7 linked regions of the Kluyveromyces lactis genome follow. The protein of the gene in region 2 interacts with the protein of the main gene of each other region in a pairwise test. Links are inferred from orthologs where the notes say so. Each region holds a gene or a part of one and is shown on either strand. Other genes may lie near its edges. The genes, in order: PER33, SLA1, EDE1, RRP7, GTS1, VRP1 and KLLA0_A09757g.

Region 1 (3,858 bases), on a different chromosome or scaffold from region 2:
TGCAGCCATCATATTTCTTGAATCGAACATTTGTTGGGTCAATTCTGATACAGATAGGGATCTGAAAGATTGGGCACCAATCGAGGTTAATGGAGCATAACCAACCATGAAGAAGTGTAATCTTGGGAAGGGCACCAAATTCACGGCCAATTTTCTTAGATCTGAGTTCAATTGACCTGGGTAACGTAGGGATGTAGTGACACCAGACATGACACTTGAAACTAAATGGTTCAAGTTCGCATAATCTGGTTGTGGTAATTTTAGAGTAGTTTGACATATATCGTAAAGGGCTTCATTATCGATACAGAAAGTTTCATCAGCGTGTTCGACTAATTGGTGTACAGATAGAGTGGCATTGTATGGTTCTACAACGGTATCTGAAGTCTTTGGGGATGGGACAACGGAGAAAGTAGCCATCATTCTGTCAGGGAATTCTTCTCTGATCTTAGAGATCAACAAAGTACCCATACCAGAACCGGTACCACCACCAAGGGAATGGGCGATTTGGAAACCTTGCAAAGAGTCACAACCTTCAGCTTCACGTCTGACAACGTCCATGACAGAATCCACCAATTCAGCACCCTCAGTGTAATGACCTTTAGCCCACACGTTACCTGCTGAAGATTGACCGAAAATGTAGTTATCTGGTCTGAACAAAGTACCAATCTTAGAGTTACGTACAGCATCAATGGTACCAGGTTCCAAATCAATGTTAACGGATCTTGGAACCCATTTACCAGAAGAGGCTTCGTTAAAGTAAACGTTCAATCTAGCCTTTTGAATATCATCGATACCGTGATAGTTACCTTCAAAATCCAAACCGTGTTCACCACAAATAGTTTCCCAAAACGCAGCACCAATTTGGTTACCACATTGACCTGTGGACAAATGAATGATCTCTCTCATGTTTTAGAATATCTCTGAGCGCGTTATTGATCTGATCTCAAAAAATGACAATTGAAGAAACACAGCACAGGCAAATTGTAGAAAGACTTGGTGTTGATACAATCGAGGGGTATCTATAATCCAGTAATTGTTGATCCTTGTTCTTTCAAGAAAAAAAAATAATTATGCGATCTCTCTGTCCTTTACAAGAAAAAAGTGAAATATAATATGGGTAAAAATAGTAGTCTTGTCCACAGTATATTAAACAAACAAACTAACAAATCGAAATAGACGAGTTCTCACAGCTGTTATCTATAAAGTTATCTCTAACCCGTGCAAGCCTGTTCACAATCACGTCTGTGTTCACTTATTTAACCACTTTAAATTGTTTATTTATTTGTTTTTATTTGTTTATTTTTTTCCTCCTTCTCTTTCCTCATATCTTTGTTTGTATTTTGATCTTTGTTTCACTTCTTTAGGCAATTTTCGAGCACGTCTATTTCCCTTTGTGGGTTGCTAAGTGTGCGGGTAATACGGGAAACGGAAACTTACATCGCGTGATTTGCACGTGACTGTGATGTGTGAATTCCTGCGTAGTGTCAGTTCATCTAAAGACAAGAGTTGAGGTTGCAAGTGAGCAACACATTCCCCTAAGATTTAGAATAGTTGTCGAAGTGTTCCATGAGTCCAAAGACTGAACAGACTATTTTCTCGGATCATTTTCTTCACAGCTGACTTTCCGTATATGATAGAATCATACGGAAACTGGAATACTGCAATTTTCCCTAACTTTCGATTCTAGCTGACATTTAAAGACGATGTGAAAATTTAAAGAGAAACGGATTTCAGGATTAGGAAATTTAAAGAGGGAAAAAACGTCCAGTACAGTTTGTTAAGAGAAGGAAACCTATTAGTTGGAGAAGCGAAAGAGGGTTTGACTAGTTGGAATTGATCTGTCCAGTGCTACATTTTTATGTATATAGTAATCGGAAGGTTACTTTGATTAAGCTACGGTATTCTATTTCGAACCGAATCGAATCGGATCAGGTTAGCAGGTCTCTTTTTTTTTTTTTTTTCTTATATTTTTGGCTATCAATTGATTAACTGATTGTGTATTGAAGACGAAAGCTGTTTACATATTTAGCTTTTCAAGGTGTTTTTGTCATCGTTGATTGTGAACTCTTAACTTAGCGGCTCAATAGCAGTTGATTATCTCGTCTCCAAAAGAACTTTCGTGAGTTAGTTACTAAGGTTTCATTTTAAAGGTTTTCTTTTCAAGAAGATGTCTGAGGGAAGTGGCAATGGCAGTGGTAATCGTTATTCCAATGCTGCCGGTCAAAATGGAGGCAACAGGCCTGCTCAGAGACCTGTAGCCCCTCTGAGTGCTGTGTTCCGTACGAAGTTGAAACAGCCTCAGTTCTATTGGTTCCTTGGTCACACGTTATGCTTATACTATTATATCCAATATATGCTCTCATTCCGAGAACAAAGTGTAAAGACAAATTACAGGAAGATCATGCTATACACAGTGATCAGTTATGGGATTGTGCTTCACCAATATGTGAAATCAAAACAGTTAAGATTCCAGTGGTCGAATTTAAAACAGCAGATCAGACAGTTGGATAACCTACAATATTTTACACTTTCCATTGTTCTTTTGATATGTTCTCTATCAGGAGGGAAAACTTTAACTCAAACTGAATCATCTATGGTTATATACTCTTTGTTCCATGCATTGAATTATTTCAAAGAGAATGTATTGCCATTCATTCCAATGAACCCCATGTTAAAAGGTTCATTGTCAAATAAAATCTCGTATTTCATCACCAATTTCAACGGGTCTTTCTTCCATGCTGCAGTGATGTCAGAACTTGTAACGATGTGCAAAGTGTGTCTCATGCTGCCCATACAGTTAATCTCTGTGCTTATCACATTCAATGCCAAGAGTTTATTCACACTTCTATCAATCTGGGCATACGCTATATTCTTTAAGTTAAGATACAATCAAAGTGAACAAATGAGGTTGCTATGTAACCAGAACCAAATGATGATTGAAAACTTCATCTCAACTCGTTTGCCTATGTTCATGGACAAATGGTTAGGCATTAAACATTTGGCTAAAGTCTTCTTTGATAGAATCCTTGCTTGAAAACGCTAGAACCAGTTAGAAACTCGAAACTTAAGTTCATTCATAGAGTCTTCCTGCAAGTTAGTCAGTAGAGCATCTAGATATACACATGCATACATATATATGTATCTTAACTTAGAAAAAACTCATCCAAGCAAAGATTCTTGCATTCGCATCTTACATCCTGTGAGATTTTGTAGAGTTTCACATCTCCCCTAAAGATTACTACGAATCATTCCTATCAGTTACCTGAACTTTGTAATGTCTTCATCCATTTCATTACTTGTCCGAAATAGTTCAGTGTAGTGTAACAGGTTCATTACTGATCTATATCAACAACACTGTGTATTTCTGTGTCACGTGATGGTAATCTTTTGTGGAATCTTTTCCGTTCAGGAGAACAAAATTCAAACAGTGAAACCTGGACCGAAATACATTCTATTAAGCAACAATAGCATAGTTTCAGTTATTCCAAATGCGGTTTGATAAGACGCTTGCTTTTTTTCTGGTTACTGTTGCATATTTACTGAAAGCTTAACTAAAGGATAGACTTTTATTTTGGGGTTGTTATCATATTTTATCTTATACTTCCTTTACTCATTTTCTTTAACGGAGAGATATTAACAACGAGGGATACAGAAAGGTGTGTTTAAAATAGAGAAATATTGTAAACTTACAACGCAGTCCATCCAATCACAACTTACAAAAGGAGCCCATATTTTTTAACAAACAGTCGAATCGTATCAGTCGCTATAAACTACAAGCAAACAAAGAAAAAATGAATACCGAATACGATTATTTGTTCAAATTATTGTTGATTGGTGATTCCGGTGTTGGTAAATCTT
Region 2 (5,490 bases):
GGTAGGTTGCTATTGAACGGTTGTTGAACATTAGCACCACCAGTTAATTGATTGCCGAAGGAGAGCTGAGATTGTTGAAGAAGAGCGCCGCCAGTAAGTTGATTTCCGAGGCTTGGTTGGTTTTGCAAATTGATACCACCTGTAAATTGATTACCAAACGTTGTCTGGGGTTGTATGTTCATTTGATTGCCGGTAAATAGATTCCCAGAATTGAAGTTTGGCTGGATGTTCGCTCCACCTGTGAATTGGTTCCCAAAGGTAGTAGCCGGCTGTATATTCGCACCTCCTGTGAATTGGTTTCCGAAAGTGGTAGCAGGTTGTAGATTAGCACCTCCAGTAAATTGGTTTCCAAAAGTGGTGGAAGGCAGCAAATTAGCACCTCCAGTTAATTGATTACCAAATGTGTTAGTTGATTGCAATGGCATTGCACCGGGCATTTGCGTGTTGAAGGAAGTAGGAGGTAAGGCACCACCAGTCCTTTGTAAAGGCATTGCGCCTCCTGTGATACTTGAACCAAAGGTTGTAGCGGGGAATGCTGTTTGGGGTTGTACACCAAACGTCGTTTGTGGCATCAACCCTCCAGTGTTCGCTGGTATCAAACCGTTCGCAGTCTTTTGAACTGGCAAGACAGTACCTGTTGGTTGCATACCAAACGTTGTTTGAGGTGCAATCATACCTCCAGTCCTTTGCAGAGGTACTAGCCCCCCAGTCGGTTGGAATGGCATTAAACCGCCTGTTGCTACTGGCATCATAATGAATCCCCCTGTAGTAATAGGGATTAGATTATTACCACCAGTTTTGAATGGATCTAATGGAACCAAAGAAGTACCCGTCTTATTTGCTGACAGAGGGGTTTCTTCCTTTTTATTCGAACCGTTAGTGGTGACAGATTCTAGATGCTTGACATCTGGAGCTGGTGTTTCTTTCTTCTTCGGCTCTAAAGGTTGCAAATCAAGCAAATCTTGAAGTGACCCAGAGAAATCCTGAGCCTTGTTGGAGCTGTCGCTGGCTTTAGCAGCAGGTCTAACAGTCCATGCATCATCATCTCTATTCGATGAATTACTATCTGGTAATAGATTATGAGATACGCCTGCAGATGCGGGAGCACCTGTATGGTTAACCTTCAAGGATCCATCGGCTTCAGTAAACAATCCAGTTGATGGAGAAGCCTCCTTTGTTCTGCCAAACTTGTTATCTAGATACTTCATTACTCTTAAAATGTCACCTTCACGTAGACCTAAGTTTCTTAATAAAGAAGGCTCGATATCTGGCAAGATTTCTTCACTAATTTGCTCTCTTTCGAAATTAATGGTGTAGCGTTGACAATTGTTGACATCAACACCAGCATTCAAGAAAAATTCGAACCAATCGTATTCGGGATTCTTGGAGCTCTTTGTGACAGGGTGCGTTTTGCTTGCTTCACTGCCTGGTCTTGGTGGTTTCACAGGTGGCAGTTCTTTGTCTTGTGCACTCCTCAGCTTTTCTCTTTCGCTTTCCAAGAGATCTCTAGCCCTCTTTAACTCTTTAAGTTCTTGCTCTCTTAATTGTCTATCACGTTCTCTTTCTTCAAGTTCCCGTTCACGCTCCTTAGCCTTTCTTCTTCTTTCACGTTCTGCGTTTACTGCACTACTGTCATTATTTGAACTCTTGGGTTTATGTTTGAATTTCTCCATAGACATACCCGTCAATCTTTCCACATACAAAATATCATCTTCGGACAATTTGTCTGCAGCAACAGCAATTTTCACACCGTTCACCTTATGTAAGTTAACCTTCCCATCGACACAGCCCAAAAACTGTGCTTCAACTTTGAAAGTACCACTTCTGTCTACCCAAATTCTAACCTTTTTAGGATCAGGGAACTCTTTATCATCAGTTTTCTTCTTCTTGGAGAAAAAGCTCGAAGTTTTAGACTTTTTCTTCGATACATCTTGATCAGCATCCTCTTTCCAGCTGCCAACTAAATTTTGAGTAAAGTTAGAAGTGTTAGATCTGGATCTGGTCTTAGACTTACTCCTAGAAGGGCTTTCATCAGAAGGCCTTGATGAGCCTGATCCGCGTGTTTCGACAAATTGTGCGGGGACAATGCCTCTTTTACCTGTTTCTACAGATTCACACATATACCAGTCTTTCGAAGTCCTGTCATCTAAGATATTAATGTAGTCGCCTTCTTTAACGGTGAGTTCATCAGGAGAGTTAGCGAAAAAGTCATATACAGCTTTAGCTCTTTTCTTGGTCATGGCAGGCCTTGAAGCAGCTTCAACTTCACGTAACCCAACTGCTGTCTGGGCACCTTTAATCTCACCCAAGACGCCCATGATCTCGTTAGCCAGATCGTTAGAGCCAGTATGCAATTCCAAGTTAATGTAAGGGTTTTTAAATTCAAGAAATAGATGCTTTTTTTCATTGTTATAGTTGATCAAATCTTTAACTGCCCATTCTTGATCCACTTTTGTCTTTGCAGAGAAGAAATGAATACGTTCAGCAGAAACAGTCAACGTAGCTTTACATTTCTTACGACCATCAACCTCACTAACAGACCAAACATGTTCAGCGGTCGAGGCTGAAGGTCTTCCATTTCTAGATGGCAGTGGAGGTTGATCTTCCTCATCGTCATCGAAATCGTAATCACGCTCATCATCTGAATAATCTCTAGTTATTTGGGAAGTTCTATTATTGTCTCTTGGGTCATCACGATAACTTGTTTGGTGTTCAGTATTAGAAGGTCTTTGAGGCATTGCTGGAGGTTCTGCTACTGCTGACTCACGCTGGACTTCTGTGGTTGCCGTATCGTTTCTCTTTGGAGGTGGAGGGAGCAGTGAAACATCAACTGGCATAGTTGTATGAGACGCAACGCCTGCATTTGATGCTGGTGGTGGTGTCGATGTAGATGGAGCTCCTGGAGCATCTGCTGTACTTGCAGCGCCAGCAGGGGTAGATCCGCTTCTGAATGATGGTTGAGAATTGACTCTGTCCAACCTCTGAGGTGGAGCTGGAAGTTCAGAAAGGGGTAGAACAGCTGGGGCTTGGTGCTTAGACTGTGTAACTCCTGCAGCGGGACCTCCAGCTTGCTGCGATTGTTTTTCCACGTAATTACCTGGCACAAACCCAACCTCTGAATTCTTGGTATTCTTCACCAAGAACCAATCTGCATCCCTATCGTCATACAATTGGAACGTATCGTTTTCATGGAATACCAATTCCTCATTGGCATTCTGAACTTGTTCATAATCGTAAAGCGCAACTACACTCCCAATCACTGGAGCCTCTTCAATATATGTCTTGGGGACCAAACCTACGGGTTCATCCTGATCAGATCCGATAACTCTCTTCTTAACGGTCCACCAATCATCAATGCTAGATTTTTCTAAAAGATACAATAGATCACCCTCTTTGACAGTTAGTTCCTCATCTGTTTGCGCAGAATAATCGTAAAGCGCCTGGTAAACACCCAAAAACACCGTCATTGTAGGTATTTAAATGCGTCAGGAGCCAAGTAAAAGGACCTATAAGCTTCCAGATTGTATACAAGGCCAAGAGGATCCCTATACAAATCGCCAATCAAATTTAATTATCCAAACTAAATTGAAATCAAAAACTAAAAGAATGCAGGAATACGAGACACTTCCTTTTTGTCGTCTCTTTTCGGTATTATGCTATTTCCTTTTATTTCTCCGTTTTGATTGGTTTTTTTTTTTCTCTTTTGCACAATTGCAATGCAACTCGCGCACTCTATCTAAACCTCAAGAGTTTGTCTGGCCTTTCTAACCCAATTCAAGCTAAAACTTGTTTATACGAATTACTTATATATGTATAGACATATATATATTTATATATGTTCTAAGTATATTGATAGACTTATTCAATTATTTTGGGCCTAATCTTTTCTCATTTTCTGATTCTCTCATTTTCACTCAGAAAAAGAACAAATGAAAATACCGACAGCACGCAGCACCGGTTCCTGGCAGTGTGGTACAAGAACCTGCAGTTTTCGAATTGTTTTTCTGTGATCCTTTGGTTACCCGGGGTTGTGTTTCGTACATGATGATACGGTGATCCCGGATCTGGAAATAAAAAGGGGTTCTTGCCCAGTTCTAGTCATGTGACTGCGAATCGCAGAGATCTGATAGAAAGAAGAAAAAAAAGAGATCATTTCTATATCACGTGATTGATGTTTCAATTCCATCATGGGTTCAAGTATCGTTATTGTCATCATCATAGAAGTCATAAATAGAGCATATATACTGTTTAGGCGAACGGAGGTTAAGTTTATTTACTCGCTCTCATACGATCTAGCTCTTTGTCAACACGAGCTTGTAGATTCTTCTTAAGTTCAGGCATGAACCCTAAAATAAATAGTAATTCGTAAAGGATGAAGTATGGCGCTAGCACAAGACTTTGCACCAAGTTATCGAGAAGCGCAGGTTTGCGCTTCTCGAAAACACCGTGGCCAATGAACTGGAAGATCCAACTGATCACAAATAATATCCAGGCAGTGGTCTGTGTCATCTTAATAGTCCCGTCGTTCAAAAATTTGCACGTCAGTGCCAATATCAACGACGCAAGGATTCCGGTACCTACTCGTAACAGTATATAGAACAACCCAAATGACAACGCTAACAAATGAGTCAAGGTATAGCCATTCCAGATCTTAACGTCGTTCAATATACGCATGGATGTAAAGAGAATCGTTGGGACAAAAATGCTATGAATTAACACATTCCCAGTATTGTTATGATAAGCTTTGTAGAACGCTAGTTGCGTCTCTAGATCTAGAAGACTGGGACTCATTCTGAGACTTGGTAGCGCAAAACCGTAACACGGATGCTTTGCTTGTGTTTTTTGATGTTGCTGTTTTTTTTCTTATTGATTGCATTATCTCAGTTGTCTTCCCCTTCCTTAATATTTCATTTCAATTTTAACTCTAATTTCAACTTTTAAATAATTTTGGTGGCAAACACATCAACGCACTACAGTTACCTTTACCAAGATATACGAAGAACCTGGCAACTCATTGATCTTCCTGTAACTACTGAATCTCAATCGTCAATTGGGAATCCCTATAACCACATATCCTATGTCTGCTGCAGGTTACGATCGTCACATTACTATTTTCTCTCCAGAAGGTCGTCTTTACCAAGTCGAGTATGCCTTCAAAGCGGCCAATCAACCTAATCTAAACTCAATAGCCATCAGGTCCAAGACCGCCTCTGTGGTAATTAGCCAGAAGAAAGTCCCAGATAAGCTTTTAGATCCTAAGACGGTTAGCTATATTTTCCCAGTGGCAAGACATATCGGGTTCTGTGCCACAGGACCGGTTCCAGATGCCAGAAATATTGCATTGAGATGTAAAGCCGAAGCTAGTGAGTTTCGTTATAAATATGGGTATGATATCCCATGCTCCGTACTAGCTAAAAGAATGGCCAATTTGTCGCAAATATACACACAAAGAGCTTACATGAGACCATTAGGGATTATTTTGACTTTTAT
Region 3 (5,239 bases), on a different chromosome or scaffold from region 2:
GTGTATTTATGCGGGTAACACTGTTCACACTGGCTCATCTCTGAACCTTTGATCAAAAAAATTTACGATTTTCAAACCAAATTCAATATCATCATATTCTGGTGAAGTAAGCTTGAATTTGGATCTAATGAGAGTTACTCTTAGATTGAATAGGTTCTGGTTGTATTGTGTGTGTCCTTGTGTGGTCCTTGTGTACACTGGCATCTATTCAACGGAAATTGTACAGTATGTTGAGAGCAGGAAGGTTTAGTCTGAGTCACGTCCATGCTAACGTTTTGGCAAGAAGTCCACTTGTACATGCTGCCAGTATACCGACCATGCAAACCAGATTCCAAAGTCAATCTGTGAATAATAATGCGTCTACAGGGGAGAAATTAGCTAGCCTTAGCGACGAACAGGTTGATGAATGGTTGAAAGTTATTGGATCGTTAGAAGAAGAGTTTTCGCAACAAGATTATAACCCAGCTACGTCCCTTGCACCAGGTAACCAATCTAGAATTAATATCTTGGAGAAGGCTATGGAATTGAACAAGCCCAGCTTTGAGCCAAGTCAAGAGCAAATAAATGAATGGGAAACGTTGAAGCAAGTTCCCATTCCAAAAAAACAGGATCCAGTTTTACAGCATGTAACGAATATGATTATGAGACACGGGAAAAGAGAAAGAGCTGAGAAGATTCTTTCAAGAGCGTTATATATTGTGTTCTGTCAAACAAGGAAAGACCCGGTAAAAGTTTTGAAAGAATCCTTGGATGTGTTGGCGCCTCTTATGGTTATCAAGACCTTCAAGACTGGTGTCGCAAAGGCCACTGTGGTTCCAGTTCCATTGAATCAAAGACAAAGGTTTAGATTAGCTTGGAAATGGATTGTGGAAAGTTCTGTGAAGAGATCATCGAGCGATTTCTCAGTAAGACTTGGTGAAGAATTGGTATCTGTCTTCAACGGTAATAGTTCAGGTTTCGAAAAGAGAGACTCTATTCATAAGACTGCTATTGCACACAGAGCTTACATTAACCTAAAATGATCAAAGTTCCAACCTCCACTGTATTTACTTGAATAAACCTGTACATATGTATACGTGAAATATAAATGAACGTTATCGATTTTCATAGTTATGCTGAATTTGTTGCTCTATCTTATATGCAATTCCTAGGCCCAGCAGACTTCCCGAAAAATTGGCCAAAATATCGTTTACATCAAAGGACCTTTTTCCTCGTGAGAGGAACTGTTGTGCAAATTCACTGCTCGTACTGGCACATACGCAGCATACAATAAATGCCAATAGATATTTGTTCATGGAAAAAGGTTCGTACGCAGCCAAATTCCTTGATCGTAGTCTTTTGGGGATGAATGCCGGCAACTGTACGGTATCACATTCAAACATCATGGTAAACAGAACGGTTTCAATGCAAAATACTATGCAATGGGCGAGCTTATCATGAGTTGATGTTATTAGCTTTAACCTGGCATCAGTAGTTAATCCGAGGAAGACAACAAAACATACACTCGAGAAAAATGTTACTGCGTATTTATATCTTATCATTTATCAATTTTCATAAAAACTCTCAATAAGAGTTGCATACACTCTACACAATTTCTAAATGAAGTGATAAACTCAACTCTCTCATCGCATTGGAAACCTTAATCCTACATCAATGCTTCACTTCTTTATGCGATCCGAAAGTCATCTTGCACGATTATATAGTTTCATCATCTTTTTGAGATAATTGAATAACGACAAATTGGATCAAATGGTCGAAACCCCTTTCGTGAAATATAGCCGATAAACTGCAACAGATACACATCCACCACGCCTCTGGGAACCATGTCAGGTATTGCGTTCCGTGTACCCCTCACTAGTGAGGAAAAGCAAGCATTTTCCCAGCACTTTTCTCGGTTAGATAGAGAACAATTGGGAATTGTGACTGGAGAAGCTTTAAGACCTTTGTTTAGTCAATCAGGGTTAACTCCGCAACAGTTGTCGCAAATATGGACCATTTGCGATACCGAAAACGCGGGCTTCTTAACTGTTGATCAATTTAACGCCGCTCTAAGAATGGTTGCGCACTTACAGGAAAATCCAGGTGCGCAAGTTACTTTAGAATTGTATCAGACTCCTGCTTCGAAGCTCCCTTCATTCGGACAAAGTCAAAAGTTCAACTCTGCTTCTACACAACCATCTATCCCACCACCATCAAATCAGTCTCATTCTGTCCAGAGAGTCCCCTCTGTTATCAATAGATCGGTGAGCAGAACTAATACGGGTTCGTCGCCAACTTATTCCGTCATTCCTGTATGCACTCCTCATGATTATGCCAAGTTTGCCCAATTATTTGACAGATCAACGGAAGAAAGCGGTTTCCTAGCTGGTAATAAAGCAAGAGAAATCTTCCTTAAAGCAAAGTTACCAACTCAAACTCTAGGTACTATTTGGGGGTTGTGTGACAGGAGCAATAGCGGAAGCTTGGATAAAGTGGAGTTTGTTATGGCGATGCATTTGATTCAGCTAACACTACAGCAAAACGCAGCCGTTCAAAACTTACCTTCTACTTTGCCAAATTATTTGTGGAATTCTTTGAATAGTACAGCATCTTCTACTCTGACTCCACTGAGCGCCAATAACACAGGCTTCTCTTTCACATCTGGCAGTGGATCTGTTGTCAGAAATCCGGGAATTATCAGAAAACCTTCTTTGTCCAGACTTCCATCCGGTACTTTTTCTAATGCTGCAACAGATTGGACCTTGACTCTTGAAAAAAAGCAGCAGTTTGACGCTATTTTCGATTCTTTGGATAAAGAGAAAAAGGGTTCCTTAGGTTCTAACGTCTTAGTTCCATTTTTTTTGACATCGAAATTGGGACAGGATGTCTTAGCAACTGTGTGGGATCTTGCTGATATTCATAACAGTCCAGTTTTCACTAAGGTTGAATTTGCGATTGCAATGTTTTTAATTCAGAAGAAGAATGCCGGGATCGAATTGCCAGATGTTGTTCCTGATCAATTATTAAATTCGCCAGCTTTAGGTTTGTACCATCAACAACAACAACAACAACAACAACAGCGCATTAGTGTAGCAAGCACCGGAGATGCTGGTCAAAATTACCAAAATTTTGCAGCTCCGGTTCAAGCTCAGAAAACCAGTAATAGCGCTCTGGATGACTTGCTTGGTCTAAATGAATCATTCACTCCTCCGCCTCCATCTCTTCCTTCCCAGCCACAATCATCGGCTCAGCCTTCAACACATTTGGCACCAAATGCTAGGAAATTTAGACCTTCATCTACATTTGGACAAACCATTATCCCTGAAGAAGGTGGTAACGACCAGCAACAACAACAACAGCAGCAGCAGCAGCAGCAGCAGTATATGCAAACTGCTCCTACACACGTAGGCTCTGCAGCTCCTCCTCCACCACCCACTGCACGTAATTCTTCGTTACCAAGTGTTCCAAACTTTGGAGGTGTTTCTGTCCCTTCGAGGGAAGTCACTTCTAACAATCGTGAAATTGTGCCACCGGCATCGCTTTCTCAGGCCACTACTGAACTTGCAAATCTCTCCACTCAGGTGAGTTCATTAACGACACAAGCTACGAAAGTTCATGAAGAGAAAACAGCTGCTCAGAATGAACTTACTCGTATAACTAACATGAAGGCATCGATCGAGACTAAACTCATTGGTTTGCGTGCGTCTTACAATGAAGAAGTTCGTCAAACGGAGGAGATACAGACGCAATTGAACGCTCTTCGTGCACAAAACGAAGAGTTAAGTCAACAAGCTTCTGTTGCAGAGGCAAATTATCATGCTGTGCAGACTCAGAACGAGGATTTGCAAACACAGTTGCAACAAGCTCAAGAAGAGGAAAGGCAGTTAAAGGAGAGGTTGGCCCAGTTTAACACTTTGTCCTCTCAGTTACAGCAACAGTTGGCTGAAGTTCAAGAGAATGCTAAAGCTGAAAGATCCAGAGTCGATATTCATGCCAAGCAGTTAGAACTTTCAGAGATGACTGCCAACAATCTTCAAACAGAAATTCAAAGTCTTGAACAAACCCTTGGTATCTACTTATCAAAGCACAAAGAATTGGATGACTACAAAGCTACTATTGAGGCTCAGCACGCTGAGATGGAAAACAAACATAAGCAATACCTTGCAACTTCTGAAGAAGTACATGCACGTGAATTGGAAGTTCAATCCAGAACAGCAGAGATAGAAAAGCAGGAACAACTATACCGTGATCAAGTATCGAGGTTGCAAGAACTATTTAATGATTTGAATAAAAGGAAGTCGGAGTTTGAAGCAGCAAATGCAGAGTTTGAGAAGCAACAGTATGACTATGCCGATAGAGTCCAAAAATTCTCTGAGAATCAAATGAAGTTAGCCATGGGAGAAACCCCTGATGATGAGTATACAAACGAATTGATTCAAAAAAGACTGCAAATTCAGACTGCCCAGCCAGCTGAGGAGGAGGAAAAACCAGAAAGTGTTTTCGACAAAGATGTTCCAACTCCTGTCTCACAAACTGAACCTGACGAAGAACAAAATCAACAATTAGAAGATGATCAATTAAGCGAGCAGCAATTACATGACCAGCAGGGTAATGATGAAGTTGCTGCCGAAGCGATGGCAGATTCTTTCGAAGGAAGTTTAAACGAATACGGCATCCCTAGAACAGAATCTGTCACATCGTCGACAGCCAACAATCCACCTCAATCAGTTAGAGACGAAGTCGAGAGTGAGCCAAAGGAAAACGCTGTCCTAGACATTGATCAACAGCTGGAAGATGCTGAAAACAATGATATTACTAAACAAGGGAGTGAAACTGTACAACCAGCTTCTACTGATGAACCATTACCAGGTGGATGGTCTACTGGTTCTACGTTAGAAAAGGATCAAATATCAGATTCCGATGCTGACTCGATCAAGAAGACACCAATTTTAGAGACACAAGATAAAGTGTCAGATGCCCAGGGCGCTGAAATCGATATTCCTGCCATCCAAGATCTCAAACTTGAAGACACTCAAGTTTCTTCGGAGGATGAAAAGCATGAACAAGTCGAATCTTCCGCCAAAAATGTATCAAGTAAACCTGATACTCCTGAATTTGTCAATCAGTTCGAACACATTACACATCAAGATCTTGATGAGAATGTTTTCCATGACGCAAGCTCAGTCCAACCTTTTGATAGTGAGGAATCTGCTAAGGCACCGGTAGGAAATGACGAATGGGATGAGATTTTCTCTGGATT
Region 4 (3,840 bases), on a different chromosome or scaffold from region 2:
ACTTGGATTAACGGACGGAGATACATTCATCCTAGATAGAATACGAGAGAACAAGATAACTGGATCTACGTTATCTGAAATCACACTTGCCGATTGCAAGGAGTTATGTCCTGATAGCATTAGTGCCGTGAGGCTTAAGACATGCATAAACAAATTTGTTGACACGGAAGAACAAGCACCGGAACAAGAATTAGTGTTGACTATGAAAGGCTTACACCAGACGTTAAATGAAAAGTTACAAGAATTCCAATCTAATTATGCGCAACTCAGATTGGATTTGTTGGAAATCGTGAAGAGGAACAGTGGATCTGGTTCAGGTTCCTCTCAGTCTTCTCAACAACTTCAACATCAACCTTCTTCGCAAGATTACTTCGATAGAGCTCCACACCATTCTTCACACACGCCATCATCACCCAAATACAGATCGAATTCCAATCCAGGGCTGCCACCACAATCTTCAAGCACCAGAAATGTTTCATCGTCACATATTGCCACCACACCCGGATCGGCGAATACTCCAGGCGGAGCTGGAGTATCATCAGCTCCAAGTTCAGAACCTATGAAACAATTACGTGCCTCAAAGGAGGATTCATGTGAAAAGGTTTTAAGAAATGCGATGAAGAGGCACAATTTGAATGAAACGGATTGGAGACAGCATGTTTTAGTGATATGCTATGGAGATCAAGAACGAGTTCTTGATCTCGATGAAAAACCAGTACAGATCTTCAAGTCTTTAAAACAACAAGGCCTGCATCCTGCAATTATGTTAAGACAAAAAGGTGACTTTGAGGAAGTGGGAGAAATGGCAGCAACACCGGGAGGTAGGCTATAATGTTTGTTATCTCCTCCTTCATCAACTGGAAAAAACACTTGGCAAGCAACCATAAACTTTCATTTTAGAGCTTTCATGAACGAATAATTGTATTGATAGATTAATTATCTCTTTCTATAAGAGTTACGTATGTTGTACAAAGACACATTCTCAACTATAGTAAATAACAAATAGAGCACCTTATCAGGAAAGTTTTCTCAAATAATTATGTGTACGGGTTGAACCTTCTTTTGGACTTCATCTCCTTTATCTTTTCTTGATCTTGCTTGAATTTGGCTAGCAACTCATTAATTTCCTGCTTCTTTCTTTCACGGACTTGGAATCTATAGAAGTCCTTCTTTGCCTTCTTGTCAACCATATTAGGCATCTTCTTAGGTTTCTCATGCTTTAATAATGGATTTCTGTTGAATATCTTTTTCCTTATGCTGTTTAATGATTTTGTATTCTTTCCTACTACTAATGTGAAACCATCTTCATCAACAATAGATGATTGTACTTCTTCTTGAGCTTGCTGTTCTCTTTGTTCGAAAAGAGCCATATGTTCATGTATATCCGTTTTCAAATATTTTAACGGTAATGGACGGTAGAATGCTGTGAATGTCTCGATTGATGGGGATTGAAATTCCCACAGTATCTGTTGTTGCTTCTTGCTAGAAGAGTATTTCCTTAGTGCTTCCCAACAGTTTTCTACGGACTGCTTATCCACAAACTGTAGTAATGCAGTATTTCTTGGCGTAAATCTTTTCTCACTAGGTTCATCAACACTCATTAAATGAGAAGTCAATGATGATAAGTCAACATCATGTAATCCGAACTCATCATGATAGAGTAGATCTTGCACATGCGAAACGGTTTCATTCTGATGACAGATCTCTTGGAAATTTTTCTTCAAGTTTTCGAGTTGTGTTAAAAGAGGTAGATTAACTAGGAATAAGCAGTGTTGTTCATTTTCCAGTTTTGATTGATGCTTTCTCACAAACATATAATGATATACTTTCGTCGGTTTCTGGTTTAAACTCTTTACTTGAGGTAGTAAAAACGGCACAATTAGGAAGCCATTTTGCATCTGTTCAAGAACCATTCTTTCGTATTGAAAGTGTGTGGAGAGGTATCTTGATCGGTGTATAACCCAAACAAATTCGTTGAAAGTTGTTGAAGCGAATTTCTTCAGCTCATCTCTTCTCATCACTTTACTAACTTTAAATCATAGTTTTCATTACACAACTACTAAATAGTGTCGAGAAGAAAATTTTCAATATAAGACGAAAGTCTTTTGAAGTCACGTGCAACAAAAAGTTGAGTATATAAACCCTTCTCCTCACCCACTACTTGAGAGAATTTGGAGGAAAGATATAATATTTGGGAAATGTCTGTCTTACAACCTTCCGAAGATCATTCACCACCTGATTTCAGCTGTTCAGCTTCTTTCATCAATTCGTACAACTGGGTAACTTGTTCTGGTGACATCTTTTCAAGCAGGTCAGTGGATAAAGTTCCTTCTTCCCATTCACCTCTTGTAATCATATGCAGATAATCCTGCCATGAGGCTAAGAATCCAACAATGTATAAGGGATTGTCAGTACTCTTATGCAACTTGAATTCATTCTTGACATATTGATCTCCCAACTCTCTCTGCATCGTTGGTAAGTTTCTGTGTTCTCTGAGGATTCTACGGTACAATTGTAACGGAGGCAAGAGCGGTTTGTGAGGTTTCCTCGAACCTAGCCGTCCCGCTCTAGTGGTCTGTTTGACAGCTTGCCTTAATAGATGGTTAACCTGCATGTTTAATGGGTTGCTGGTACGTTACGCGGAGTCACAGCTCTATATCATCAATTTATTCAACTCTAGCGATGATGATATGCGGTATCAAGCATTTTCATTAAGATTTCCATTGTTTTTGTATTTAGAAGTCACGTGAAGTAATATTTTGATACTTTGAATATGCAAATCTCTGGGGAAGTTTCATGCATTCAACGCGTGCTTCTGGAGTAAGCTTCTAAACAATTCGAATGGTTAAAGTTTATTCATTTCTATACAAACATAGCATTATTTTTCTTTTAGATATTAAATTCAAATCTTAATAAGTTAGTTCTATATTATTCAAAACCTGATGGTAGTAAGCCCAACTTTGACATCCTGATCTTGACTGCGTTTCTGTGAGCATCCAAGCCTTCGACTTTAGCAACACTCATCACAGCATGACCAATATGTTCTAAACCGACTGGGGTGACCACTTGAGAAGTGATAAACTTCTGGAAAGTGGCTGTGTTCACACCACTGTACTGCCTAGCATAACCATAGGTAGGTAATGTATGATTCGTACCACTAGAGTAATCACCACATGATTCTGGAGTATAAGCACCAACAAAAATGGAACCGGCGTGATCCACATCTTTGACATAGTCTTCGGCATTTGAAATTTGTAGAATCAAATGTTCAGGAGCATATTGGTTCGACATCTTGAAGGCTTCTTCGTAAGAATCACATAGAATGATTGAGCTGTGGGCGATACATTTACGAACAATATCAACTCTAGGTAGCTGCATAGCTTGTTCGTGAACAGCATTTTGTAAAGCTTCAATCTTCGAGTCAGATAACGAGACACCTACCAAAATAACTTGAGAGTCAATACCATGCTCAGCCTGTGATAGCAAATCCGATGCAACAAAGTCAACATCAGCTTCTTCATCACAAATGACCAAGACTTCACTTGGACCAGCTGGCATATCGATAGAACATAAAGCTTGAGTGTCGTTTTGAACATACATTTTTGCTGCGGTAACAAACTGGTTACCAGGGCCTAAGATTTTGTCCACTTTAGGAACGGATTCAGTACCGTAGGCCATTGCAGCAATAGCTTGTGCACCACCTGCTAATACGATCTTTGAAGCACCGACTTTACTTGCAACATAAACAACTTCAGGAGAAACTCTACCGTCAGACTTTCTTGGAGGTGATGCGAAAACAATTTCTTTACATCCAGCAACCTGGGCCGGTACACCTAACAT
Region 5 (4,356 bases), on a different chromosome or scaffold from region 2:
TCACAATGCGGAATTTGATGATGACGAAATGACCGATGTGGAGACTGGGAACCCATCGATGGCAGCAGCGATTGTCAACCCAATCAAGTTGTTGGCTACTGGGGAGACTAAAAATGACTCTGATTTGATAACTCTCAGTTCACACAGCACAAAGATAAATAGTCTGGAACCAGATCTGATCCTTTCGTCTAATTCGTCGATCATGTCTGCAGTGAAGAAGAATACAACGGGATCGAGAAGTATAAGCTCGGCATCCTCCTCTTTGCTGTCTCCTCCACCAATGGTACAGGTTAAGAAAGCGGAATCGTTATCATTGGCAAAAGTCATCTCGAGCAAGGATTCGATTTCAACGATAATAAAGAAACAACAAGGTGTGCCAAAGACAAGGGGACGGAAACCTTCGCCAATACTGGATGCTTCAAAACCATTCGGCTGTGAATACTGCGATCGTCGATTCAAAAGACAAGAGCATTTGAAAAGGCATATCAGGTCTTTGCATATCTGTGAGAAACCGTACGGTTGTCATCTTTGTGGGAAAAAATTCAGCAGAAGTGACAACTTAAGTCAACATTTGAAAACACATACACACGAGGACAAGTGACATTCTTCTTAATAGCGCTTATTTAGACTTTTCTGCCTTAACTTTAAACGATTTTTCACGCAGTATTTTGCGACATGATATGACCTCAAATAATGAAGAAAAAAAGTTCTAACGAGACTATTTATGATATGATATTGGGATTTCAGCATCTAAATGACATTCAAACTTCCTACTACACCTGACACTGATATCATATTTATCCCACCAACATTTTATGCCCTATACTATAATAATCAACTAAAATCACAAAAAAAAACTATAATTCTGAATATCAATCAGCTTATCAAGCAGTATATGAACATCGTATATGTATATATAGTATCCAATGTATCAACCCTGCTTACCTCTCGTTACTAAAGGTGACCCAACTTTTCAAGTATTGTTTCAAATTGATTGAATTCATTAGGAAGCTCCAACTCAACTTTCAAATCAGACATTTGAACACAATACGTAGATGAGATATGCCCAGTGATGCAATCAATGTTATCTGCAAGACCTACAGCAAAACTTGCCTTTTCAAACAAATTATGTTTCTCCTGTTTGATGCGCTGTGGAGTCCAGTTATTTTTGGATAATTCTTCATATTTGGAGTTCAATTCACGAATTGTCTTTTGAACCTCTTTCAATTTACTTAGCTGTGCACTTCTTTTCCAGCCGCGTCTATTCTTCAACGTATCACTCCTCTGGCCTTGAATTTCCTTCTGATACAATTCCTGACACCGAGCAATTTCACTTTTCTCATGCTCTATTCTTTTCTCTATGTTACTGGCGTCGCTATTCAACTTATTTTGCATCTGATTTTTGAAAGACCAATACACGTTAATGTTCCCACACTTTTCCACACTGATCAATCCATCTTCATCAATCATCTTTTGTACTAATACCTTCACTAACATGGAAGATATGCCACATTTCTTGGGGATATATTTCTCTAATTCCTTCATGTTGTATACGGTATGTTCTTCTTGGAAAAACCTTAGGATACGTGCTTTTTTCTCGGCAAGCGAAACGGTATTCTTACCTGGGGCCATGTTGAATTATTTGAACCTTTTAATAGACTTAATTGAAGCTGATGTCTTTGATGTGATGATGGTTCTTCTTCTGTTTGTTTTTAACCGCTGAACCTTGATAAAAATATATAAAAGAAGACGAAATGTCATTTTCCATGGGGAAATTTATAAACAGTAACATATTTTGGTGAAAGAAGTATCAGAATCGAGAGTAATTGAATCAATTCAGAGATGCCATATTAATAGCCATGGTTGCTTATAATTGGGGAGGCGGTTAGCTGCTATATACGAAACATTAAAATAGATCCTATTCTCCGGCTAAATGACAGACCACGTGAGAATAAACTCTCCTGAGGCAATATGATAGTACATAGCTTAAGCCTGTCTATCACGTCATTATTCAAAAGGTATCCAAGATGGTATATCGTACTGACTGCTTCCAATAGACTTACGTTTGTTGAACAAAAATAGCTCTTGAAATATTCTATGCGGTTGAAATTCCGAACAGGAACAGAAGTTCTATGAATGAACGAAGCATAAAATGGTGAAAGTGAAGAACGGATATTGAAAATAAAAAAAAATACTTCATATTATAAGATTATAAAGACCCAACGCTAGAATTACGTTTATATCAAATAGGGGTCCCAAATTGGACTAGTCGAGTTTAGGTAAGGTTTATTGAGGAGATACTGAAGCGAGGAAACCAAAAATGAGACGATCAAGAGGTGAATCTGTAGAACATGATTTAAAGTTTTTGCTTAACGCTGGTGAGAATTCAAATAAATGTGGTGAATGTGGGACACCATTCCCTACCTACTGTTCAGTGAACTTGGGTGTATTCTTGTGCGGTCGGTGTGCTTCCGTACATAGGAAAGTGTTAGGCAGCAGAGAAGATGGTGCTACTAGTATCGTGAAATCTTTATCTCTTGATAGATGGTCTAAGCGTGACGTTCAAACTGTTGCCGATCTTGGAGGAAACAAACATAACAGCAGTTTTTGGAACCCTAAGAAAGAACCTTTCCCATTTGACGGTGACGAGGATCGTACTGCCGTTGAAATGTTTATCAGGGATAAATATTTAAAGGGTAAGTTCAGACATACCGCTGTCAAGGTGGAAGATTTCAATCTAGAGGATGATTCGTCACAATTGGACTACAAGTCATCCCGCCCATCATCTGCGTCCGGGTCCAGAAGAAACCGTTCTGCCTCATCTGCCAGCAGTAGACCAAGATCAAGAGAAGGAGACAGACCTCCGCTTCCAAAAAGGCCGGACAACAAAGTGCAAGAAGCCGTTTTCGATGGAACAAGTGAACCAAGCCTACCTAGTACAGCATCGGCAGAACCTCGCCCAGCAGTATTCGATGGGGTACAACAATACTATGATCCAACTACCGGCCAAATTTATGTAGATCAAAACTCCTATGCGGCAATGCAGCAGGCCCAGGTACAAGCATTGGCACAACAAGTTCAACCTCAGTTTACACAACAGGTTCAACCTCAGTTTACACAACAAGTGCAACCCCAATTCACACAGCAATTACAACCTCAGTTCACCCAACAGGTACAGCCTCAATTCACTGCTCAACCATCGATAGATAAGAACACACTATTATCACTGTATCAAAGACCAGATTTATATTCTAGTGCCGTAGAAATCAAACCGGATAATCCACAATACCAACAGATCCTGAATCTCCAAAAACAACAGCAGGACCAACAACAGCAGCAACAGCAACTGCTACAACAACAGCAGCTACAACAGCAGCAACAGCAACAGCTCCTGCAGCAACAACAGTTACAACAAATGCAATACCAACAACCACAACAGTACCAACAACAATTCTACCCCCCATTCCAATAGATCATCATCCCTTGGCCTTCTTTGCAGCTGCAGCTGCAACTGCACATCTGCTACCGCACTACGGTTTAATCTCTCATACCTATGTTTGCCTATATAATACGTAAATATGGCTAAAACCAAAACACCGCTACAACTAATATCTAACTTTGTCTTCCTCCTCTGACGTTTCACAACGTCTGCTATACACTCTTATCCGGAACATCCACGATCTACTTACTACCTAGCTATCACCACTATTATCTTACTGACCATCAAAAAAAAAACCTCCCATTGACTCATAACCAATCATATCTTATTTGCACTTAACGAGCGTTTTCTTAAAACCGTTCCACCAAGCACCAGTGTCTTTCCACTGCCTTTACTGTGTACGTTTTCTGCGATATATCTGTCTTTCCTTCTTTGTTTCTTTATTTCTATATAAAGTTCAAAATGACTTATTACAAACTAAGTTTTGATCCTTAAAAACCATTTATAAGAAATAAGAACGCCCCCCCTTGTAAAGAAAGAGGCCAAAGAATGACAACGGTCTGGCACTGAGTAGTCATATGGAAAGCGGTTGAGCATGAGTTCAGAATCGCACGACAAAGTTGTGGCGAAAGCCATTCGTTTGCCGACAGAAAACTATTCCGTGGAGAAGGAGATCGGTAAGGGTTCATTCGCGGTTGTTTACAAAGGTCTATCGTTAAGAGATGGGAGAAACATAGCTATCAAGGCCGTGTCGAGGTCGAAGCTAAAGAACAAGAAGCTTTTGGAGAATTTGGAGGTCGAAATTGCCATTTTAAAGAAGATCAAACATCCGCATATTGTGGGGTTAATAGATTGTGAGCGGACTTCATCTGATTTCTATTTGATCATGGAATACTGTGCACTAGGTGATTTAACGT
Region 6 (4,824 bases), on a different chromosome or scaffold from region 2:
TTTAGTACTGTTGTCTCCAAATGCTAACGGCCAATATAATAACGAATATATAATGATTTCGGGATGTTTTGCATTTGCAGCAGGGTTCAATCCTCGTCAACGATTCCTCAAACCCATGACACAAATCCATGGACCTGTTCCAGAATATAAGCAAAAATTACAGACGCAAATGAATAAATTCTTCCAAACTCACAAACCCGGAAAATTAGTGATGAGGATAAACTTCTCGTTCCAAACACATTCCAAACTGTTTGTCACAGATGATAATAAGGGTACAGAGGAAGAGGAAATTCGTCCGAAAACTTTAGAAGAGATGCATGGAGGTCATGATTTGCATTACAGATCTGAAAGACAATGTCTAATCAAATTAGAAAACTCAAAATCAATGTGTTTTTCTATCAAGACGTATCTATGGAACTTGCAAGATGAGTTCTTAGCAAACGATTACTATTCACAGGAAGGTGTTATTCAGGATTTATGTGACGCAGTGAAAGGAATGCAAGATTCAATTGGACAATACAAGCGTAAACCCGAGTGGGGGCCAGCATTGCTTGAAATGCTTGAATCAGCATTACATAGAAAGTTGTAAATAACTTTAACGAACAATATTGACAGATACTCTTAAATTAACGAGTGTTGTTAATAGAGCTTGAGTCGAATGTGAATGCAGTGACGAAAAAATAAAAAAGCTTCTCCGCGACGGGGAATTGAACCCCGATCTCGCACGCGACAAGCGCGAATTCTAACCATTAAACTATCGCGGAATAGATATTTTTATGAAAGATTGAGAAGACATTCCCTCACAAGTCTGGAATACGAAACCATGTGCAAGAAGTTCATTTCCGAGACTAAATTATAAGGCTTTTTGGGTAACCAAGGTTCGAATCACAAAATACCATACGATTTAGAGATGTGCCCCAGTTTCCTGGGTAAAGGACGCTATTTATGCATCCAAAACCATTCGTGAAAATTCGTGATGATGTTTTTTAGCATTCAACAGAGGAAAATCCACAGAAACGAGGGAAACACACAGCAAGAAGCTGTGAATTTATCTTCAATTTGGGCATCGCTTTGAATCCATGCACCACTGAAAGAAAAACTGCGCACGGATCTTCGAAGATGCCACTTAAAATCTATATACTATGAGGACGGATTCCATTAGCTAAGTTAAAAGAACGACGACAGAAAATGCATTACTTCGCGTTAGGACACCTGTCACTAACAAAACAAAGAATTGACAACGTATTACATCTTGCTGTGGAATATATTAGCTCAATTTTTAATCCAATCCCCGATGGTGGTGGTACTAGCTATAGATAGTGTACATGATATATAGATTTCAGTACCTTCTTCACATAGTAAGTTGTTAAGATGCTTGATCGCCTTTGAAAACTTTTTTAAGACAAGGTCCAATACCAAAATGTTACCCGAATATATTATATTGGTAAATTATTCGTATAGGGCTGGTAACTGGGAATGGCACTCCACTAAAACGATGTTCCTCATTTAGTTACTACATGCCGATGCTACCGCGAAATCATGAAGAGGTCCAGTGAACTTCGTACTGTAGTAGTATCATAGAATCGTCTTGCATTGCCGTATTCTTCTTGATTATTGATTTAGCACCGAACTGAAAGTGTAGTGTCTGGGTGGAAAGTGTAGTGTCCGGGTATCCTTGAGGCTTCCAGATATCAATTAGCTATTTAAAAATGAAAGAAACGTCAAATCAGAGAGAAACAAACTGTTGCAGTGCATAGGGGTCCACTGCGTTTAAGGTAGTTATTCGAAAAGAATCATAGCGATACCAATTGACCAGTGTGTTTCCGCTAAAAGTTCTATAAGACTTAAGGATTTGAGCATACTTTGTTATAGATAACTTGCTGAACATAGAAATTAGAATAATATGGCTGGTCCACCTCCACCACCAGCACCTCCTCCGCCTATGTTTGGCGGAAATTCATCCAATGCTGGCTCCGCTGCAACTCCTGTCCCACCCCCAGCGGCTGTTCCAGGACGTGATGCCTTATTGAGTGATATTAGGAAAGGTGCAAAACTTAAGAAAGCACACACTGTGGATAAGAGTGCACCTGCGATTGGAGGATCAAGTTCGATGAGCCACTCTGTATCAGTATCGAGCTCAGCAGTCCCGCCTGTAGCACCATCGATCCCGACTCCAACTCAGCTTCCCGGTGTCCCTCAATTGGGAGATATACTTGCTGGTGGGATCCCTAAATTAAAACATGTTTCGGGTTCCTCTAAATCACCAGCTATTCCATCTGGAGCTCCTCCGCTTCCGGATAGCTCTTCAATCCCAAAAATTCCTTCTAATAGACCACAGCGTAAAAAGACTTTGAGAAGTGAGGGTGATTCGTCAGTGGCGGCTCCTCCTGCTCCTCCTCCAATGGCAGCACCGGCAATTCCAACAAGTCCGCCACCAGTACCCATGATGAACACACCACCGGTTCCGAAACATCCTCCAGCAAGACAACGCACAGAAGCACCTCCGGTTCAAGCACAACCTGCTCCGCCTGTAACGTTACCACCTGCACCTCCAGCTCCTCCTATAGCCGTGCCACCAGCTCCGGCACCTCCAGTACCTCTAGCACCTCCCACAATTAGCACCCCTCCTGCGGCCCCACCAGCACCTCCTACGCCTGCACCTCCTACATCTGCACCTCCAGCTCCAGCACCTCCAGCACCTCCCATAATCAGTACCCCTCCTGCAGCCCCACCTGCACCTCCAAGCATATCATTCCCAACGTCCACGCCGCAACCACCACCATCTGCACCGTCCCCAGCTGGAGGACTTCCATTCCTGGCGGAGATTCAACGAAAGAGAGATGACAGATTCGTAGTTGAAGGAACAGGACATGGTGCGTCGAATAATACAGCATCTTCCGCTCCAAAGGTACCGCTTCCCTCATCATCTGCTCCTCCGGCTCCTCCTTCGTTCAGTGCTCCTTCGGTTCCACCAACTCCAGCTCCTGCTGCTCCACCTTCAATTGCTGCTCCTCCGGCCCCACCGGCTCCTGCACCTCCTGCACCTCCTGCCCCTCCTGCCCCTCCGGCCCCACCTACTCCTTCCTTTAATGCACCTACGCTGCCTCAATCTACCCCAAGTTCTGAAGCACCATCTATTCCAGCCGGAGGATTACCATTTCTGGCATCAATACAAAGCAGAAGGGATGATTCTCACATTATCGAAAGTGAGAATAGTCATACACCAGTGGGTGCGCCAACGGCTCCTCCTTCCCCTCCTCCACAAGCCGCTTCATTTCCCTCTGCCAAAGCTCCACCACCTCCACCCGCAGCCTCAGAGGAATCTCTTCAACAAAATCAGCAACCTCAAGTGGAACGCACAAATAGTTCCTCATCAAAAGGTTTCTTCAAACACAGACTTTTTTCATCTGGTAATGAAGCCAGTCGACCATCTCAATCTACTAACCCTTACACAAATGCTGCTGAAATAGATGTCGGAGATTTCACAATAGAAGGAAGTCAAGATACGACCGGAATAAAGCTGAATAACAGTGGAATAACCATTGATGATTCAAAATTCGATTGGTCTAACAGAAACGATCTCCCCAAACCGAGACAATTCTTGGGCTTAAGAAAACTATATCCAAGTGGCAGAGGTTCAAGTGTTCCATTAGATTTTACTGTATTTACATGACTTTATAATGAGTAAGAACTATATAAGATATTAATGAAAGCATTCCTAGACGAGTGGAAGAGGAAGAAGTATAACACTTAATCCCACCCATCTACCCACCTTTTCTTCCACAAATCGCAGTTGAATTTCTCCTTTCCCAATTTCTCATTAACTTCATTATGTGCCGCACAAATCCATCTACCTAAGTCGTCTTTTGAATCAACCTTGGGTGCGTTCTCTTTTATAAATAGTTCAAAGTCCTTAGCACACCACCCGCATGGATAAACATGAGAGAATATGGTCATAAATTGTTTCATTTCTTGTTTCTGTGTGTCCGATGGCTTATTCGGATACTTGGCAGCTATCGTATGTAACAAAGTCCAAGAAGAACGGCCTAGCTCTTCGACATCAGCAGGCCCAGACTTAGAGTATGTCTTAGATCCAGGAATCAACAGTGGCTGGTCAGCTGAAGTATTTGAAATATCTGTCGCGGCCCCAGCTGCTAATTCACCGGAGCCAGGAGACTGAGTGGAATCCGCCACTGGTGAAGCAGAAGAATTGCCGCTTCCCCGAGCCTTCAAAGTGCCGGTCACAAATTGAAAGTCCAACAAAGTATTGCATGAACGACAGCTAGATTGATAGTACATAAACGTTAGTAAAAGTTTTCTGAAATTCGATTATTTCGTTTCTCGATATTAGGGTTGCAAAATACGAACGGTTTTCCATCTTCATCGTAGATGATTTTTCTTCCAGACAGTCCAAATTCTGGTGTTTTAGAAGTTTCAGTACGGCTTGACATGATTCATGCAGGTTGGTTGGAAAGATTTGGTCGTATGCTTGCATCTTTATGAATTCTATTCTCTAAATTTGTAAGCATTCGAGAGATGCATTGAAATCGAAATCTTTAAATTCAGATCAAATTTATGAAGCGATGAGATAGAAGATAACATTGGATGATAACAAAGAAAAATTTCAGTACATGTATGAGATTACAGCTATAACCCTTCTTGAAAATGTATGACTCTATTTACAAACTGAAGTGGATGATACCACAAATATACCAGGTATATTACTTACTTGATGAGATAAGAGTAAGTATATAACTATTCTTTCTTATGAATCAATCTAATGCAGCTCTAGAAAATGTTGCACCAGCGTCGATTTTGAGATTT
Region 7 (3,645 bases), about 410 kb from region 2:
ATAGACCGACTATACCTAACGATTCGATGATGAACCCAAGGAACGTCCACTTACATAAGATCATGAATATCCCAAACACGAGAAACAAGGTCCCACGTCTCTTTGTCGGTCTAGTGAAGAATTTGAGAGTCTTGTGTGGGCCTATCATCAGCAGCACGCCGAGTAGGAACAAGATGTTCCCAACAGCCAATAGTGCTCTATCGAAGAAGGTGAAGATACCAAAAAGGAAGAACAAACATCCACCGAACGTGAACACAGCACCGAATTCTGGGGAGATAAGTGGGATTTCAAGATTTTGGCAAGTACTGTAACAAAAGTGAGATAGAAAGACGGATTGAACAATCCGTCTTTCTATTTCCCTTATGTTCGCATGAGTTTACTGGCCGATCTCAAATAACAAATGTTAGTAAAGGGAAACCAAAAATAATAGTAAACGCATACATGGTTTAACATACGCTGTGACTCCGATAGCCAACTACTCATTGTTATGTGCTATTGTTGCGTGTATATCAAATACTATGAGCATATATAGAGAGGCAAACAGTGCCTATCTTGATGCGTTAATGTGCACATATTTACTGCGCTCGTCCAGAAGCCCATCGCTTTTCGCGATTGGGCTTCTGGACTGAAAAGACGTGAAGTGTTACCCGGTCATTGTGTTTTCCGGGTAACGAAAATCGTTCGAGGCTTTGAATCAGCAAATTTACCGGCCGTTGCTATTAAGTCCAATGGTTTATACCCTTGAAGCCACCATTACTATACACCATTTAGGGTTCCTTTTTCCACCTTAGAGCCGTGGATTTGCATGTTATTGCGTGGATATGATGGTTCACTCATCTGCTAGACGAGTCATGGATATATAAGACACGCATAAGCCAGATGTCTAACTAGATGCATGGAAGAAAGGTTGGAAGGAGCCGTTGGCTGTTAGGCACGTGACCCAACATTCTATAATGGCAGCGTCAGTTAAACAATCAGGTATTCTTCCGTCGTATGACGAAGCAGTCGGACAAGGTTCGTCTACCGGTGCTTCTCGGCATCAAGAGGCATCAAATGATGAACCAAATGATGAACCAAATGACGAATCAAATGATGCGTCCAATGATATACCAAATAATGCCACCAATTCCACCACTACCAGTAGCTGCAATACCGGTACTGATATCGACCAGCTTCCCTGGACGTATCCTCCATGGTATTACTGTAGAAGGTGCGGGAACACCGGTGTAGAGACCAGGACGCAACGCAGGTGTAGAACATGTTGGTCAAGATTCAATAGAAGGCAGTTTCCAGCAAGACGTGGTCTTATACTCACAGTTGTGCTCTTAGGTGTAGCTGTAGTAAAGCATTTGGGTAAACATGTCAGCAATGCCAGCCATGCCAGCCATGCCGCCCATGCAACGGATTAGGAAGAGATTCTACATAACATGTACACCCAGGTAAATAATTTAATTTATATTAGCATTGCAACGCCCATAGTCAGATACTCCTAACCATATGAAGTTGCTTGTCTCTCTCAGGTGTCTGTTGATTGATGACAGATTCCTTTGTCAGTAGTATGAGATCGCCAGAGCAGAGATATGAGTTTGTTACCCGGATATTTGTATATATGGTCCGGGTAACATGAACTGATCAAGGCTTTGACTTTGATGCCCATTAGAACCATTAGTAGGAGCATTGGCAAGAGTGGACCCTTGTCTGTAAGTCCGCAGTTACTCACTGGCTGCATCCAGTAGTTATCAATGGCTAAAAGCCCAGTTTAGGATCGGGATTCGTCCACATTGCAGCCGTCGTGCTATAGGGTTTCCTCATTTTAGGTGCATCTGCCAAATAAATCACGTATATATAAAAGATCAAGATATATAAGGGACATATATTTAGTCAAAGAAAAGTGTATGGAGAACGGGATCGGGATCAGTAAAGAACAGAGATCAGAGAACCAGTCACTTTGAGAATACTTCAATGAAATCAGAATCAGATATACAGCCAGATGAGCATCTTCCGTCGTATGATGAAGTGCTGAGACAAGATACTGCTGCTGCTTCGCAGCAGCAGCAGCAGCTCCCACCAAACCCTCCACCACGTCCAACACAACCACCAGCAAGACCGCCCCGGCCAAGCAATGCCATACCAGCGTACCATCATTCCACTAGTACCTTTTCAAGCAGTACCAGTACCAGTACTGGCAATAAGAAACTACCCTGGACGTACCCTCCAGGATATTATTGTAAAAAATGCGGGAACACTGGCACCAAGATCAAGACTCAACAAAAATGTAAGAAATGTTGGTCGAAATTCTACAAACCCCCACCTGCACAACCACCACGTCCAAGTGCAGGGCCAAGACCTGCGTTCGTATACTCTAATGTCACGATGCCACCACAGAATTTCGTCATAAACTCAGCACCTATCGTTGTGCGTCCCGGTGACAGTCGCATAGGAGGCATGATGTGTAACAATTGCAATGGGACTGGTAGGGTACGATTCTTCTTGGATAAAGAACCGTGTCCCGTATGCTACGGTCTTGGCAGGATTCTTACTGGACCAACCTACTAGTTTGATCATCTGATTCGCCCAAACTCTACACTGTTTAAGTAAAATTGTACATAATTAATTTCTATTCATTTCATGTTTGTCCATTAACAACATTCAATAGCAGGGTACTGGCTGAGGTAGCACATGATAGAGTAACTAGTCATGTCTAATTGCTGCTTCTCATGGTACGGTGTTTCCACAGTTTTACTTTTTTTCCTTGTATGACAAAAAGTGAAAAATTTCGATGAGTTCGAGTTATAGGAAACAAGAGGTATAAAGCGTACCATATGCATTTGTTCCATTGTAAAGTTTTCGATTTTGGGTTGGCTCTTTCAAGCTTTAACTGATTGGATAATTCAGTGAAAGTTTGTCGTTTTGTGTGTTAGTTTGTGCGTACGTGTCTCCTTCTGTCGGCTTCTCTCAACAAGTCCCGTTGTCTGACCAGTATCACATATTTATAGGGTCTTTCTTTTGCATGGATTAGTAACCCATATCAGGTAACCCATACAGCTAGCTATATTCAATAATGGAAAACAAACATATCTCGCACGTCTCTCAGATTGAAAGACGTGCTACTCCTTTGAACATTCGTCCAGCTTCGCCTTATACCTTAAATCCTACTGTGGAAAAAGACGGTTTATCATGGCCTAGTATTGGTGCTCGTGAAAGAGCAGAGGAAACGGATGAAGAAGAACAAAAACGGGTTGGTCGTATTGCAGATGCGGTTAAGACTATTTTGAGTGAGCTCGGTGAGGATACCGAACGTGAGGGTTTACTGGATACCCCTACACGGTACGCTAAAGCGATGTTGTATTTCACTAAAGGCTATCAGGATAATATCATGAACGATGTGATTAAGAATGCTGTGTTCGAGGAAGATCATGACGAGATGGTTATTGTTCGTGACATTGAGATCTTCTCTTTGTGCGAGCATCATTTGGTGCCATTTTTCGGTAAAGTTCATATTGGATACATTCCTAATAAGAAGGTGTTGGGTTTATCGAAATTGGCTCGTTTAGCAGAGATGTACGCTAGACGTTTCCAAGTACAAGAACGTTTAACGAAGCAAATTGCTATGGCTTTGAGTGATATCTTGAAACCTAGAGGTGT

The links.
Region 1: the proteins of SLA1 (region 2) and PER33 interact in a two-hybrid assay, tested with the Saccharomyces cerevisiae proteins (2 studies listed by BioGRID). The link is inferred for Kluyveromyces lactis from reciprocal best matches to the Saccharomyces cerevisiae genes SLA1 and PER33.
Region 3: the proteins of SLA1 (region 2) and EDE1 interact in a two-hybrid assay, tested with the Saccharomyces cerevisiae proteins (2 studies listed by BioGRID, with this or other methods). The link is inferred for Kluyveromyces lactis from reciprocal best matches to the Saccharomyces cerevisiae genes SLA1 and EDE1.
Region 4: the proteins of SLA1 (region 2) and RRP7 interact in binary tests that used the Saccharomyces cerevisiae proteins (3 or more experiments, as listed by UniProt). The link is inferred for Kluyveromyces lactis from reciprocal best matches to the Saccharomyces cerevisiae genes SLA1 and RRP7.
Region 5: the proteins of SLA1 (region 2) and GTS1 interact in a two-hybrid assay, tested with the Saccharomyces cerevisiae proteins (2 studies listed by BioGRID, with this or other methods). The link is inferred for Kluyveromyces lactis from reciprocal best matches to the Saccharomyces cerevisiae genes SLA1 and GTS1.
Region 6: the proteins of SLA1 (region 2) and VRP1 interact in binary tests that used the Saccharomyces cerevisiae proteins (3 or more experiments, as listed by UniProt). The link is inferred for Kluyveromyces lactis from reciprocal best matches to the Saccharomyces cerevisiae genes SLA1 and VRP1.
Region 7: the proteins of SLA1 (region 2) and KLLA0_A09757g interact in a two-hybrid assay, tested with the Saccharomyces cerevisiae proteins (3 studies listed by BioGRID). The link is inferred for Kluyveromyces lactis from reciprocal best matches to the Saccharomyces cerevisiae genes SLA1 and HUA1.

Annotation. Positions count from the first base shown.
Region 1 is NC_006040.1:455,705-459,562, forward strand, and holds PER33 (Per33p), read left to right. Parts: upstream 1-2,167; coding exon 2,168-3,034; downstream 3,035-3,858. Other genes in the region: TUB2 (beta-tubulin), read right to left, coding at 1-906; Rab family GTPase YPT1, read left to right, coding at 3,792-3,858.
Region 2 is NC_006037.1:445,321-450,810, forward strand, and holds the start of SLA1 (cytoskeletal protein-binding protein SLA1), read right to left. Parts: upstream 3,468-5,490; coding exon 1-3,467. Other genes in the region: 2-hydroxy-palmitic acid dioxygenase MPO1, read right to left, coding at 4,270-4,791; SCL1 (proteasome core particle subunit alpha 1), read left to right, coding at 5,078-5,490. UniProt on the Saccharomyces cerevisiae protein: Component of the PAN1 actin cytoskeleton-regulatory complex required for the internalization of endosomes during actin-coupled endocytosis. The complex links the site of endocytosis to the cell membrane-associated actin cytoskeleton.
Region 3 is NC_006041.1:513,258-518,496, forward strand, and holds the start of EDE1 (Ede1p), read left to right. Parts: upstream 1-1,823; coding exon 1,824-5,239. Other genes in the region: RSM7 (mitochondrial 37S ribosomal protein uS7m), read left to right, coding at 228-1,022; KLLA0_E05765g (uncharacterized protein), read right to left, coding at 1,095-1,541. UniProt on the Saccharomyces cerevisiae protein: Functions at the internalization step of the clathrin-mediated endocytosis (CME) as an early-acting scaffold protein. Requires clathrin adapter proteins, ENT1/2 and YAP1801/2, for normal spatiotemporal dynamics and viability.
Region 4 is NC_006039.1:105,868-109,707, forward strand, and holds RRP7 (Rrp7p), read right to left. Parts: upstream 2,019-3,840; coding exon 1,038-2,018; downstream 1-1,037. Other genes in the region: STE50 (Ste50p), read left to right, coding at 1-832; SDH7 (Sdh7p), read right to left, coding at 2,225-2,614; HIS4 (trifunctional histidinol dehydrogenase/phosphoribosyl-AMP cyclohydrolase/phosphoribosyl-ATP diphosphatase), read right to left, coding at 2,929-3,840. UniProt on the Saccharomyces cerevisiae protein: Plays an important role in the synthesis of 18S rRNA but is not required for the 5.8S and 25S pathway. Is necessary for the cleavage at site A2. Is required for efficient association of RPS27 with the pre-ribosomal particle.
Region 5 is NC_006039.1:1,494,925-1,499,280, forward strand, and holds GTS1 (Gts1p), read left to right. Parts: upstream 1-2,320; coding exon 2,321-3,472; downstream 3,473-4,356. Other genes in the region: COM2 (Com2p), read left to right, coding at 1-601; MND1 (Mnd1p), read right to left, coding at 955-1,632; serine/threonine protein kinase ATG1, read left to right, coding at 4,035-4,356. UniProt on the Saccharomyces cerevisiae protein: Appears to modulate the timing of budding to obtain an appropriate cell size independent of the DNA replication cycle. Transcription factor involved in both heat resistance and flocculation.
Region 6 is NC_006038.1:536,636-541,459, forward strand, and holds VRP1 (Vrp1p), read left to right. Parts: upstream 1-1,903; coding exon 1,904-3,673; downstream 3,674-4,824. Other genes in the region: KLLA0_B05995g (heme-dependent oxidative N-demethylase family protein), read left to right, coding at 1-589; ERV1 (flavin-linked sulfhydryl oxidase), read right to left, coding at 3,751-4,282, 4,369-4,451; protein-degrading AAA family ATPase MSP1, read right to left, coding at 4,773-4,824. UniProt on the Saccharomyces cerevisiae protein: Involved in cytoskeletal organization and cellular growth. May exert its effects on the cytoskeleton directly, or indirectly via proline-binding proteins (e.g. profilin) or proteins possessing SH3 domains.
Region 7 is NC_006037.1:854,317-857,961, reverse strand, and holds KLLA0_A09757g (uncharacterized protein), read left to right. Parts: upstream 1-1,962; coding exon 1,963-2,556; downstream 2,557-3,645. Other genes in the region: GOT1 (Got1p), read right to left, coding at 1-267, 456-483; KLLA0_A09779g (uncharacterized protein), read left to right, coding at 954-1,409; FOL2 (GTP cyclohydrolase I), read left to right, coding at 3,062-3,645. UniProt on the Saccharomyces cerevisiae protein: May be involved in assembly and disassembly of the actin cytoskeleton.